Linked DNA regions of Notamacropus eugenii. The protein of the gene in region 2 interacts with the protein of the main gene of each other region in a biochemical or structural test. Links are inferred from orthologs where the notes say so. Each region holds a gene or a part of one and is shown on either strand. Other genes may lie near its edges.

Evidence for each region.
Region 1: of the proteins of IFIH1 (region 2) and TRIM65, one has a biochemical effect on the other in vitro, tested with the Homo sapiens proteins (2 studies listed by BioGRID, with this or other methods). The link is inferred for Notamacropus eugenii from reciprocal best matches to the Homo sapiens genes IFIH1 and TRIM65.

The regions. Positions count from the first base shown.
Region 1 is NC_092873.1:342,108,695-342,115,918, forward strand, and holds the start of TRIM65 (E3 ubiquitin-protein ligase TRIM65), read right to left. Parts: upstream 3,017-7,224; 5' UTR 2,650-3,016; coding exon 2,236-2,649; intron 1-2,235. UniProt on the Homo sapiens protein: E3 ubiquitin ligase that plays a role in several processes including innate immnity, autophagy or inflammation.
Region 2 is NC_092876.1:221,886,410-221,894,035, reverse strand, and holds the start of IFIH1 (interferon-induced helicase C domain-containing protein 1), read left to right. Parts: upstream 1-4,615; coding exon 4,616-5,510; intron 5,511-7,626.

The DNA of each region.
Region 1 (7,224 bases), on a different chromosome or scaffold from region 2:
GCAACATGACTAAGGTGAGAATGTATTTAATAGGAATGTTATGTGTAGAACCTATATAAGATTGTACACCATCTCAGGAAGGGAGTGGAGAGGGAGGGGAAAAAAATCAAAGATACATGGAAGTGATTGTAGAACACTGAAAATAAATAATTTAATTTAAAAAAACTTAAAAAAAAAAGAACCTTGTGCTAAATATATGTAAACCATCTCTATGACTTCCTAATCTCAGCACCAGGTCTAGGCAAAAGGAAAGGATCCTGGCTCATCTCTTATCATTTCTCTCCCCTCCTAACTCCAAGACCCAACACTCCCTGAAAATCTAATCAATTAGCACAAAGAGACAAGCAAACTGGCTAACTTGTTATTTCCTGAACTCACCATTCCATGTCCTGCTCAAATGCTTTCCAACAGTTTTCATAATCTCTGATTATGTGGCTCACTGTTTAGGTTTGGATGGCTTTAAATGAATGTAAAAGGCAACGGTTGTCTGTTCTGGTAGAAACTTGGAGGGTCTTCACCTCCCAGACTGATATTTTGGTAATAGTAAATTGGGCCATCTTTTGTCCCAGATCTTACCTCTTAATTATTGAATGGTCTTGTGGCCTCAGGCAAATTGAGACCTGGGAAAGATCTCAAGGTTCACAAACAGCATCTTGGGCCCCTCACTTAAATCCAATTCATGTGCAAGTCAAGAATTCATCTTTGGTAATATCATTGGTCCTCTTTGAGAAGGAAGGATGAATACACCACCACCAGCAACCCAGCTAACTAATGGCCATTTCCTACTGACTGTGCCCCCTAGGCGTCTCCGACCACCGCCCCAACTTCCTTGTCTCTGATAAGGGACCATCCTCCCGTAGCTCCCTGACCTGCGTGCGACTTCAGGGTCTTTCTTGACGATCCTTCTCCTCCCCTGGAATGCCTGGAAAGCATTTCCTCCTCACCTCAGCCTCTTAGAATCCCTAGCTTCTTGCAAGGTTCAACTTAAGTGCTTTGCTGGTTTCCTGATGTGTGAGCGGTCTCTTCCTCTTCATATATATCTATATCTATCTATCTCTGTAGCTAGCTAGATATAGATATATAGATAGACCTACAGATAGATATAGATCTTTATATAAATATATAAAGAGATAAATATCAATATAGATATCACTATTGATAGTTGTATAAATATATAGGTGGATATAATGGTAGATACATATATTCAATATAGATATATATCTCTCAATATAGATATATAGGTAAATATCAATATTGATATATAAATCAACATAGGTATATATAGATATCGATTTTGATATCTATCAATACATATATAAAAAATCTGTATTGATCTAGAGATCTATATATGTATATATGCACATTACATAGACAGATATGCGTATAAACACAGATGTATATAAGTAGATAGATATATACATGTATATATACATCTCTATAGAGAATATATATATGTAAATATTTATGCCTGGGATTTTGGACACAAGAAGCTACATATTTAAAAGGAAAATAATTGTCTTTTCAGAGCAACTTTTTTTTCTTCTGTTATACATTTTGGCTGTGAGTGTCACTGAGCTGGTGGACCAATTCAAGATACTAAGTCTTGGTACCTTACTCAGGTGAGCACAGTTTTCTATGAGAAAACAATCATAGGTTTTAGATTAAGTGCAGAAAATGTCCTGGATCATTATGGATGTCTTTGACAGTCACTAAAGGAACTGGAGACTCATTAATATATACTCACTAAATGACTCTTACATAGCCAAGGGTGTTTCTAGTTTATTTTGATGGATTCACACACACACACACACACACACACAACTTTAAAACGTAATCAGGTAAACTTTTTGAAGGGCAGGTATGGATTGGTGTTGTATCTTTGTATTTTCAGCACCTGGCCCATTTATTGTAGGCGATCAAAAAATGATGGTGTTTATGCATGTTCCATTTCATTGGATCTACAGAATAACACCCTGTGTGTGTGTTATCAGCATTTCACAGATGGGATAGCTGAGGCTGACACTGGCTAATGGCTCGTCCCGGATCACACAGCTAGTCAAGTCTGCATCGGGATGTGAGCTCCGGTCTCCCCGACTCCAAGCCTAGCGCTCCACTAGCCACTGCGTTCCACTGCCGCCTTCGCAAGCTGGGTCAGGCTGTGGTTGGGAATGGGCGGGCTGCGTGGAGGTTCGGTCCACACTGTCCTGGCTCTGCCCACCCCTCCTGCACCCTCACCTCCTGCTCCTTGCGCTCCACATCGAGCAGGGCGCGCTGGTGACCCTGGCACTGGCCCACCGTGCAGGCGCAGCAGATGCACAACTTCTCGGTCCGGCAGTAGAGCTCCAGGGCTCGCCCATGCCGGGGGCACCGGGCTGCCCCGCTCGGGCAGGGCACGGGCTCCCCCACTGCCAGCTGCCCTTCGGTGGCCCGGAGGGTCTCCACCACGTCGCACAGAGCCCCGTTTTTGTGCAGCGCCGGGCGCTCCGTGAATGGGGTCCGGCACTGGGGGCAGTCCACCTCCTGTCTGCGCCAGTAGTCTTCGATGCAAGCCCGACAAAAGTTGTGGCCGCAGGGCAGAGTGACCGCTTCCCGGTACAGCTCCAGGCAGATTGCGCAGACCAGCTTCTCCTCCAGCTGCAAGGCAGCCATTCCTTCGCTCTGGCCAGAGGAGGGAGAAGCTTCAGGCCCCAGGAAGGAGAGTTCTGGGGGTGCAGCTAGGAACTGGCAGTTTCTCGCAGCGTGCAGAGAGAAGAACAGAGGGCTCGGCCCGCTCTCCCGGGCTTCTCCCCTCCTTTGAGGCTTGGGCTGGGTAACCTTCCGTAGGATCTCTCCTCCCCCTTAGGGTAGGGGTGGGGGGCAAGTCATGGGGTGCAGAAGTGTGCTTTCAGAAGCTACCAACCACCACACCCCGGAGTCCGGACTAGATTTAGAGTCTGACCAAATTTCTCTTCTCCTAAAGTCTGGCTTCTAACCTCTCCCAGTTGCCCACCCACTTCCTGTTTGTCTCCTCCTTACTTTGCTCTTGCCCAGAGCCCTGTCAATCATCTTCTGCTTCATGTACCTCCTCTTCCTCCCGGTCTTTCCTGTTCTGTTATTCTGACCTGCCTATCCTTGGCTGGATGGTCACTCAGGGCTAACGACAAATGGCAGCCATCCCTGTCCCTGCTCTTTCTGCAGCCATTTATGAAGCACTATGTGCCTAGCCCTGAAGATACAAAGACAAGAGTAAAACTTTCCCTAGCCTCAAAGCACTTTCATTCAAATGCCAATGCAGTACAAGAATATACAAAACAGACCCAAGGAAATGGGATGATGTTGGGGGGGGGGGGGGAGGGTAAGGGTGGAGTTGCAAAGGAAGGCAGTAGCCTCTAGGGGAACCCAGAAAGTCCTCATACAAAAAATTAAGCTTGAATTGAATCTGGAAGGCAATCAGTATTTCCAAAAGTCAGAGATGGGGAGGGAGTGCATTTCAGGCACGGGGGACAGTTAGAGAAAACATCCAGAACAATTTTCTAACAAATTACATACAACAAAATAATAAAGCAAACATACAGACATGTATTGATAAAATCCTTTACATCTTCACATTTATAAAATAATTTTCGTGTTATAAAATAAATCTTTATTATCAGTAAGAAAAAAAGGCAATTTCTCCCTTTAGATCAAAACACCTGTTATGAGAAATTTTGCTTTTCTTTCATTACTTTTTAACATTTGGAGCTCAGGGCCATTCCTTTTGCAACTTTTGGTTAACTAAAAGCCTGTCTTCTGTTAATATTAACCTCACCTGACTAAAACTTGATTCACGATAGTGTTAAAAACTATTTGACATTACTCAGATAGAAGTCAAAGGGGAGTCTGACCTTCCAAAAGTGATGTAGTTATTTGATGAAGGATCCCAAGTGGTTGTTTCCTTAGGAAAGTATGAGAATATGATTCTGCTTAACTAAGTTTGTTCAATGTTTTTAACACTGAAGGAAGCATGGGATCATATAGCTGTCTTTTTCATCTTTTATGGTCTAAGAGGATGTATGAGATTGCAATATGCAAACAAATTATTTTTCTGCCTCTGTAATGTAATTTTGTCTCTAAAAAGTCTTATTAGAATCCTAATATTTGTTCAGGGTTATTTTTTTTTAAATCCTGAACCTGTGCTTAAGCATAATAAAACCTAAGACATTGCCTGTATAATTTCTGCAGTAGATTTATTTCAGCAGCAGTAACCTACCACAAATTCAAAGAAGGGACATTTTTCTCTCATAGCACATCCTCTAGCTTTAGCACAAGAAAGCTAGAGGGCTTTGCAATTGTAGTGTCCTTTCGGATATCAAGGAGATATACACAATGAAAATGGATACCAGGTGCGGGTATTACATAACATACCTCCACTTCCTTCCAGGGAGCCATTCCTTGAAACAAAATGAAGAAAGAAAGAAGTTTCACAAACTAAAAAACATCCAAAAAAAAAAATCTTAACATTATATGTAGTATCCCAACACCAATGTCTGTAAAGAGGGTGGGAGAGTGTCTTCTCATATCTCTTCTTTGGGGCCAACCCCATCATTTTTAAGTTTGTAGCATTCACTTTTGTTAGAAACACACTCAGCAGAGTTCAGAGGAATTGAATACTTTGGCCAAAGCTGGCCCCTACCACTACTCAGTATCATTGTTGAGTCCTTGAAAGAGAAGAGATTTTCTGAGTAGGTTGAAAACAGGACTGGGCAGAAATCCAGGAGACTTTGACTCTCCACAACTCTGCCTCTAGTTAGCTACAAAACCTTGGGCAAATAACTTTCTTTTTGGGTCCCATTTTCCCCATTTGTAACCTTGGACTCCTTTTACAAATGTTATTTTAGATGACCTCTAAGATCCTTTCCAACTCTTGCCAGATGAGCTATATATTGTTAGTTCAAGACAGATCCTCCCATAAGGAGATGGATTGATCCATTTTCTAGTAGGTCACCATCTTCTCTACATGCCCACTATGTAACCCCGCTTAGTGTAATTCTCCTTCCCAAACATGATCAGAAAATGGAGGGATAATTTTATGCGTGATGTGTCTGCTTATCTGCATGAAGTTCATTAAGCAAGTGCAGTGAAGAAAAGCCTTCTCCAGGTAACTCTAGGTCATTTTTCTTGGTTAGTTCCAGCGAACTGTTGATTTGGTTCCTCAAAAACTTTGTAATTTTCTGAAGGCCACTGTCTGTCTTTGGACTGATTGAGTTCACCTTTGGTCAACTCTTATTATCTAATTTATTCTCAATGACTTCATCAATCAACAATAACTTACTGTGGAAATTTAACGTTTTGCTGTCTCACAACTTTCAGTTGCTTTCTTGTTCTTCCCACTTACATAGATGTAGTCATGGAATGAGTTGATCCAAAATGTTGGTCCACAGCCAATGTGGAACCGGGCTGCAGTTCTTTCACCTAATGATGAATATCTGGTCACTGGATCCAGATGGCTCAGGAGGAGAAAGTGAGGCTGGTGACCTGCACAGCCCTCCCTCACTCAAAACAAAGTCAAGCGCAAGTCACGTCATCATTTCTCTGATGGCATGGTCTTCTTCAGCAACGGAGGATGAACACACACACCTCCACTTCCTCCTAAGGAGCCATTCCTTGAAACAAAGTATGGAGAAGAAAAAAGTTTCTGGTGGGGACAGAAATCCTTAAATTGTTTCTCTCTTCAGTCTTCACAAAGTGAACCCTCACATGGACTGATAAGAGAAGGCTGTGACTGACCAGTAAGAGTTTCTCTTCTGAGGAAAAAGAAGGAAATAGGCACAGCCCTGGGATATATAAAGCATCAGAAAGGCAGATACAAGGGTAATGGTGGAGCAGGAGGTACATTGGGAAGCTGTATCGGGAAACCAGGAAAGCATAGTGTTCATCATCACTGAAATGAAAACAGAGCATCACCATTAAACTCAATAATTTTAGATTCCTGGGCCATAGGATCCTGTTTTGCTGAGCTCACTCAGAGGGATAGCCCCATGTCTGGTGATTTCTCCTTCCCTTCCTACCTGGGGAAGGCAAAGGCATGGTAGAAAGAAAGTTACCCAATCTTCTTAAGAACTTGTTTTGTTTTCTGTTTTGCCATTTGTTTGAAAAGAAACCATTTCTGTAATACTGCATGGTCATTCATTGAAGTACTGATCAGTGTTTATCTTTGAGGGTTGGAATATAACTGAGAAAAGGAGTATAGTCTGTGAAAGAGCTTCATAGATTTTAGCTGATGCTGGGAGCCATTCTCCAGATAAAAATGGAAGTCTGGAGCAAGAAGAGAGATTTTACTGATACATGTTTGTATACCTTTTCCAAAACAGAAAAGAGCAAGAGAATCTGAGCCAAAACCTAGACCCAGTGAGCCTGAAGTAGTTTTGAAGAGGGAAAGCAAATGATTTAGAGCTGGAGCAGGGTTGGGGAATCTGTGGCCTCAAGGCCACATGTGGCCCTCTGGGTCCTCAAGTGTGGCCACAAGTTCCCCACTCCTAAGAAAGAGTAACCTTCTGGAGCAGTTTTCTCAAACATATTCTATTCTATTTTTTTCTTCTTTTGGTATGTTTGAAAGGTAAACTATAACTAAAGGTAAACTATAACAATGCTCATCCATTGGGGAAGAGGTAAACAAACTGGCATATGAATATGATTGAACATTACTGGGCTACAAGAAATAATGAACATAATGAATAGAGAGAAGTGTGGAAAGAAAGGGACTGATGCAAAGTAAGCATTAGCAGGATATATGTAGAAGCAAGAGAACAACATACACCATGAGTATATCTATGTAAGTGGAAAGAACAAGAAAACAATTGAAAATGAATGCTGCAAAATTAAAAATGGTGGGCTTGGCCCCAAAGAAGAGATATGAAAAGACCTCCCTTTTTACAGATGGGGCAGACCATGGGCATATAATGTTAAGGGGCTTTTTTTAGATATGTTTTTTAGTTCTGTGAAACTTTTTTCTTTCTTCATACTTCGTTTCAAAGAAAGAATGACTCCTTGGGAGGAAGTGGAGGTAGGTAATGTAAATACACACACACACACATATTTAAAATTTTATATAAAAAAAACCAAAAAACCATTTTCCACAAGGGTTGAAGCCAAAAGCATTGCCAAGGGAAAGGCTAAGATGAGTGATGATACTACCACATAAGGTGCCAGCCAAAAGAAAGCAACTAGTACTACTTATCAACATTTTTAATTTTAAACCTCTCCTCC
Region 2 (7,626 bases):
AAATTTTCTTTTCAGGTCTGGTCTTTTCATCAAGAATGCTTGAAAGTCCTCTGTTTCATTGAAAGACCATTTTTTCCCCTGAAGTATTATACTCAGTTTTGCTGGGTAGGAGATTCTTGGTTTTAGTCCTAGTTCCTTTGACTTCTGGAATATCCTATTCCACACCCTTCGATCCCTTAATGTAGAAGCTGCTAGATCTTGTGTTATCCTGATTGTATTTCCACAATACTTGAATTGTTTCTTTCTAGCTGCTTGCAATATTTTCTCCTTGACCAGGGAACTCTGGAATTTGGCCACAATGTTCCCAAGAGTTTCTCTTTTTGGATCTCTTTCAGGCAGTGATCTGTGGATTCCTTGAATACTTATTTTGCCCCCTGGTTCTAGAATCTCAGGGCAGTTTTCCTTGATAATTTCTTGAAAGATGATGTCTAGACTCTTTTTTTGATCATGGCTTTCAGGTAGTCCCATAATTTTTAAATTGTCTCTCCTGGATCTATTTTCCAGGTCAGTTGTTTTTCCAATGAGATATTTCACATTATCTTCCATTTTTTCATATTTTTGGTTTTGTTTTGTGATTTCTTGGTTTCTCATAAAGTCATTAGCCTCCATCTGTTCCATTCTAATTTTGAAAGAACTATTTTTTTCAGTGAGCTTTTGAACCTCCTTTTCCATTTGGCTAATTCTGCTTTTGAAAGCATTCTTCTCCTCATTGGCTTTTTGAACCTCTTTTGCCAATTGAGTTAGCCTATTTTTCAAGGTGTTATTTTCTTCAGCATTTTTTGGGTCTCCTTTAGCAAGGTGTTGACCTGCTTTTCATGCTTTTCTTTCATCTCTCTCATTTCTCTTCCCAGTTTTTCCTCCACCTCTCTTACTTGATTTTCAAAATCCTTTTTGAGCTCTTCCATGGCCTGAGCCCATGTATATTTATTTTGGATGTGTGGGATACAGAAGCCTTGACTTCTATGTCTTTCCCTGATGGTAAGCATTGTTTTTCCTCATCTGAAAGGAAGGGAGGAATTATCTGTTCACCAAGAAAATAACCTTCTATAGTCTTATTTTTTTTTTCCCTTTTCTGGGCATTTTCCCAGCCAGTAACTTGACTTCTGAGTTTTCTTTCCTCACCCACCTTGCCTCCAGATCCACCCAGCCAGCAGGGTCTGAGATTCAAATGCTGCTTCCCAGCCTCAGGGCTTTGGGTGCGAGCGGGGTTGCTATTCAGTGTGAGATTAAGTTCAGGTGCTCAGGTGGGGGCAGGGCCGCCACTTGGGGCTCAGTTCCCTCAGGGAGTTTATGTGGAGATCTTCAACAATGAATCCGGGCTCCTGCCTGCTTGGGGAGCCCCTGTCTGCTGCTGCCCCTGCTGCTGTCTCCCAAGGGGGCCTGAGTTATAGGGACACCCCACTCCCCTCCTGGCCAGCCAAAGAGACCCTCTCACCAACCCTTGTCACCTGTGGGTGAACGGACCCGTGTGGCTGCTGGAGATTCTGTCCCTGAAGCCTGCTCGGATCTGCTCCTCTCCGTGCTATGGCCAAGGCAGGGCTGGGCTCTGCTCTGGGTCTGGGGCATGGCAGACCTTTCACATCGGTTTTTCAGGGCTCTCTGGAACAGAAATCTCATCTGCTCCGTTGTTCTGTGGCTTCTGCTGCTCCAGAATTTGTTGGGAGTTCTTCTTTACAGATATTTTATGGGCTGTGGGTTTGGAGCTAGCATATGTGTGTCTTTCTACTCCGCCATCTTGGCTCCTCCCCCCTCAAGTATTCTTTAAGTCAAATTAGCAAAGGTTTATTGTAACACCAATATAGAGGGCAGAGCTTCATGCAACTTAACAGGAATGATGCTAAAACTTATATAGGAAAAGTAATGGATTATCTGGCAGATATGCTAATTAGATGATAACTTGCAACCTTGGTCACTGGCATCATTCACTACTGGAAACCAGGGGAAGAGGTTTTTAAGGGGTGTATTTTTGGTGTTACATCTGTGGTAAGGTAGCTTTGAGAGTTGATTTCTATAACTTGACCTCTGGATTGAATATGATAACTTTGGGAATCAATACATGATAATTCTGTGGTTACAAGATAGTCCTGTTTTTACAACAGAATTTCTTCAGAGGTCAGCTTGTTCTTGTGATGGGGAAAGATAGTTTGTCTTCCTGGGGCCCACTCGTGAGTTATTGCTAGGCATACTGTCCTTGGGCTGGGGAGAAAACTCTTAGTGTTTTGAAGCTGGGGAGAAATGTGATCTTGGAAATGGGGCCCGAGCATAAGCACCCCATCAGAAACACAGTTTGTTCTGGGCTTTGAAGAACCTGTAGGGCATGAAAAAAATTTAGGAAAGTATTTTAGAAATTCAATTCCATTCAACGATCAGATGTGAGTAAACATACCAAGAGATAGCCATGCGCCTGGTGTGTTAAGGGTGAAAAAATGAATTGACCCATAGAGTTAGTGTTGAACAATACTGACAAATAAGATTTCAGAGGTAGAGGCCAGATTATGATGAGCCTTGAATGCTAGGCTAAAGATCTGGAACTTTGATAGTGGACTATTGCAGAAATTTTTTGAATGATATATAGATAATGGTGTTTTTTATAAAAATTTTTATTGGAGCAGTGTGTAAGATTGATGGGATTAGGGAGATGTCAACTCCATAGAGTAGTCTTTACCTTAGATGTTATTGCCCTCTATTTATGTGTAAAAGTTGTAAAGAAACATGTGGAAACCGAGCTCAATGTCCCCATCCCCCCCCTTCCCCTCCTAATATTACAAAATAATATTAGGAGCATACTTTAATCTAAAGTTTTAAAAGTCTTTCTTTAATTGTTAATCCTGAAACAATGTCCTACACTGACATCTTTCAAAAATCATTTTCATTGAAAACCCAATTAGTTTCTACAGAGAAAAGCCTGATTAGTCAAGGACTCCTGCTTGAAGTAATTAGCACAATGATTTATGAGAAGGAAGTTTTTTTTAAATTCAATTGATAGAAATGTCTCTTCACTTGAGTTCACCAGTAACTGATCATCTGCCGTCTATGAGTATCTAAGCCCAAGAATCCCAGAAATGACAAGACCCCCAGACCATCAGTTTGGTTTCCAACCCAGCCTTCACCTCAGTCATTCCAAGACTTCTCTCTCCTCTATCCGAGGACATATAGCAACCGCTTCTGTGGATGCTGCAACCACAGCTACTTAATACCAAGAAAAGAAGATTATTGTTTCCAAAATCTTTGACCCTGTTAAATTGTTCAGCATGACAAAGTGATATGAGTTAATCAATGGAAATGACACTGAACATGATGCATTACCATATGCTTCACCATTACAACCTAAGGACCTAGGACTTTCCTATCTGACTTGGAGCTGAAACTTATCTATACGTTCTTCCCCATTAGAATGGGAGCTCCTTGAAAGCTAGAAATGTCTTAAATTTTTATTTGTGTCCCTATCCCTAATTCAGTGCTTTGCAATATAGTAAGTTTTTAATAAATGGCATTCATTCGTTCCTTCACTTTTGATCATGAGTAAAAGACAGTCCTTAGAGGCAGTGGTTAAAGAGGGACTGAATGCTGTTATATCACTGGACTTGATCCATCTGAGTGTTACCTACATTCTGTTCCTTAAATTCTGAAATTTGTTTGATCTTGACTGTGAAATTTTGTCTTTGTTTCTGAAAACTATAAAATGTATGAAGAGCTTGCCTGGGGAGGGGGAGTTTCAATTAGCAGGGGTAAATGTGCCATTTATCTCTCCTTCCAACTAGCAGAGAGAGTGTGTGTGTGTGTGTAGGTGTACATACACACACATACATTTATATATGTGTGTACAGCTAACATTCATCTAGCGCTTCAAGGTTTGTGAAGTACTTTGTATATGTTACTTCACTTGGTCCTCATGACAACCTTGTGAGGTAGACGTTATTTTTATCCTCCTTTTTATGAATAAAGAAACTGAGGCTGAGAGAGGTAGGAGCTTTGCCTGAAGTCACAAAGCTAGTAAGTGTCTGAGGCTGAATTTGAACTCAGGTCTTCCTGACCCAAGTCTAATAGTCTATCCATTGTACCACCATATACATTAATAAAATGTCTCCGACAGATCTGAAGTCTAAAAAGAAAGTACTTTTTTCTGAAAAAGAGGGAGGCAGAGAGAAAGAGGGAGGAGGAGGGAGATGGAGAGCTCTTCCACCTACCTCTCACGCTGCAGTGCGCTCTTTACAGACTTTCACCCAGCTGTCCAAATTTTCCTGCATCACTTTCCCGAACCCATCACTGCATCTGTTGGGAACAGAAGCGCTGACGGCTTGTATACGTCTTTCACGGACTTGAAGCCTTTCTCAGTCTTCTCTAAAGCAAGCAAGGGAAGTTGGGGAATCTTAAGTCAAATCGGGAAGGGCCCTGGGAGATCGTTTAGCCCCGCTCCTGTATCTTATCAAGGAGAAAATGAAGGTCTCCGTAACCGGCCCGGCCCGGAGGGGAGTCTGGGGCATGCACCCGGGGCTGCTAGAATTAGGATCCTGGCGGACGCGGGGGCTCTGCCTCCTACTCAGCGCAGAGCTGCTGCTCGCTCCTTCACCCAATAAAGACCTACTTTATTTTGCCTCTGAATAGGCAGGTCTGCATGAATTGTCCGTATATACGTTCCTCCCCAGCCGCAGCCTGGCTCCGCCCCTCTCTTCACGCACGGAAGCTCTGGAAGCCGGGAATCGAAACAGAAATTGTCCCGGTTCAGACTTTAAAAACTAAGTTCCCCGCAGGCCACCAGGCGGAAGCTTGGCCCCGCGGACAGCCGGCGCTTGGGCTGTGGGACGAGACAGGTGGTGTCACCGCGACCGGGGGCCCTGCCGGTCCGAGCCGAGCCGGTAGAGCTGCCCAGGGAGCTCTCCTTGTGTCCGCGGGCAGTCCTGGCGGAGCAGGGCGCCAGGGCACTCAGCGCCGCGCAGGCCGGCCAGCCGGAGCCATTCCGGTAAAACCCACGGTCCGCGCCGAGGCAGGACGAAGAGGGAAGGGCTCGCAGGAGCGCGCCGAGGGCCCCTGGGCTGCCCACGACCCGGGCGAGATGTCGAGGGAGCATTCCCCGGAGGAGACCTTCCGCAGTCTGCTCCTGTGCTTCAGGCCCAGGCTGAAGCGGTACATCCGAGTGGAGCCGGTGCTGGACTACCTGACCTTCCTGGGAAGAGCGGAGAAAGAGCAGATCCAGCACGTCGCGGCCTCGGAGGGGAACACGGCCGCGGCCGAGGTCCTGCTGAGCACCCTGGAGAGAGGCACGTGGGGGCCCGGCTGGACCCGGGAGTTCCTCACGGGGCTTCAGAACGGGGGCTGCCCCTTGGCGGCTCGCTACGTGAGCCCGGACCTCGCCGACCTGCCCTCGCCGTCCTTAGAGACCTGTCACGACCGGTGCGTCCAGCTGCTGGACCTTCTGCAGCCCACCCTGGTGGACAAGCTGCACGCCGCTGATGTGGTGGACAGGTGCTTGGAGAAGGATCTGCTGACGAAGGAAGACCGGAACCGGGTAGGTGCCTCCTCAGAAAGAGCCCTCTCCTGCCCCCGGTGTGCACACCTGTGTGCGCGCACCTGTGTGCATTCTGGGGCACCTCTGACCGAGTTATTCCTTGAGAACCCGATAGCTCACCTGGCCAGGTGAAAAGACAGCCCAGTTCAGATCTGGTCTGCCTCTGCGATCTTGGGCAGATCACCCGATCTGTGTGTGCCCCAGGAGGGAGCTGGGCGAGATGGCTTCTGAGGCGTTCGTCCACTTGGAAGTTTAGGATCCATGACGCGAGAGAGCTGTTCTCTTACTTCATCCCTGCCCCTTCCCCCCCCTGCCAAATAAATATTGATTAGACATAAAAGGTTATCAAAGACAGACTTTTTAAAGTGGGGGCATTTTGCTTCTGAGGATGTAAGAGAATGACTCTGTAGCTAGCTGTACTCAGGGCTTCATGATCCCTGTCCAGTCCCATCTTTCAGTATGAGCAGTGGTTATGTGGTAGCTTATGTCATGAAAAACTCATAATACAGACATTTTAATGAGAATGTTTGGTATTTTAAAAACGGAAAGGGAGACGTTCCTATGTTGCAGGAATCAGTGTGCCTTTTAACAGGTCAAAGATGCCACACCTCTCTGACGTATTGAGTAAGAGCTCTGCCTTTGGTTTCAGTATGGAATCAATGGCTTATATAGTTTTATACTCACTTTTAAAATTTATCTTATTTTTATGTCACTTAAGTTTACTCCATTATCTTGCCCAATCCTTCCCCTCCAACTTATATAACAATTAGAAAAGTAAGAAAAAAAACATCAATTAGGTAATGACTGTACCCCTTGTGGGGGTACAAGCAGGATGATTTCAGAAAAACCTGGAAAGATTTACATGAACTGATACAAAGTGAAGTGAGCAGAACCAGGAGAACATTGTCTACAGTAATAGCCATACTGTATGATGATCAACTGTGACTGACTTAGCTATTCTCAGCAATACAGTGATCCAAGACATTTGCAAAGGACTCGTTATGAAAAATGCTGTTCGTCTCCAGAGAAAAAACTGATGGTGTCTGGATGCACATAGAAGCATACTGTTTTTTATCTTATTGTGTTACTGTTATTTGGGTTAGGGGGGAGATCTGTAGAGTTTTTTTTCACAGCATAACTAGTATGGAAATATGTTTGATATTGCACATGTCTAATTATGTCAAATTGCTTTCTCTTTCAGAGAGGAGGGAGGGGAGAGAGGGAGAAAATTTAGAACTAAAATTAAAACAATGTTAAAAATTGTTTTTACATTAGAGAAAATATTCAAAGAAAAAATCAAACCTAATCAATGAAATTTTTAAAAAATGTGACAATATATTCAGTATTCCATACTTGTGAACCTCTCCACCATCTTTGCAAAATATTGAGAGAAGATGGATTTTTTTAATAGCTTCTTTGGGGCCAAACTTATTCTTTGCAATTTTACAGCATTCGTTTTCAGTTATTTTGTGGTTCTGTCCATTTACCTTGTAGTCATTGTGTAGATTTTCCTGGTTTTGTTTATTTTACTTTTTATCATGTTCATGTAAGTCTTTCTATGCTTCTCTGTATTCACCACATTCATCATTTCTTACATCGCAGTCATATTCCATTATGTTTGTATAACATAGTTTGTTTAGCCATTCCCCAGTTGATAGGCATCACTTGTTTCTCATTTATTTTTGTACTATGTGTTAGATACTGTGCTAAATGCTAGGAATACCAAAAAAAAAGGCAGAAGATAGCTCCTGCTCTTGAGAAGCTCACAGTTTAATAGGGGAGACAAAATGCAAACGGCTATGTATGGGATAAAGTGGAAATAATCAAGAGAGGGAAGGCACTGAAATTAAGGGGGAGTCAGGAAAGCCCTACTCCTGTAGAAAGTAGGATTTTAGCTGAAACTTGAAGCCAGTGAAACAGAGGTAGAGATGAGAATGGGGATTGGTATGGTATGGGGGGTGGGGGTGGGAAATGCCTGGAGTCTGAAGATGGAGTAACTTGTTTGAGGAGCATCAAGAAGGCCAGAGTTACTAGAGCTCAGATTATGTGGAGGGGACTAAAATGTTAAAAGGCTGAAAAGGTCAGAAGAGATCAGGTTATAAAAAGACTAAAAACCAAAC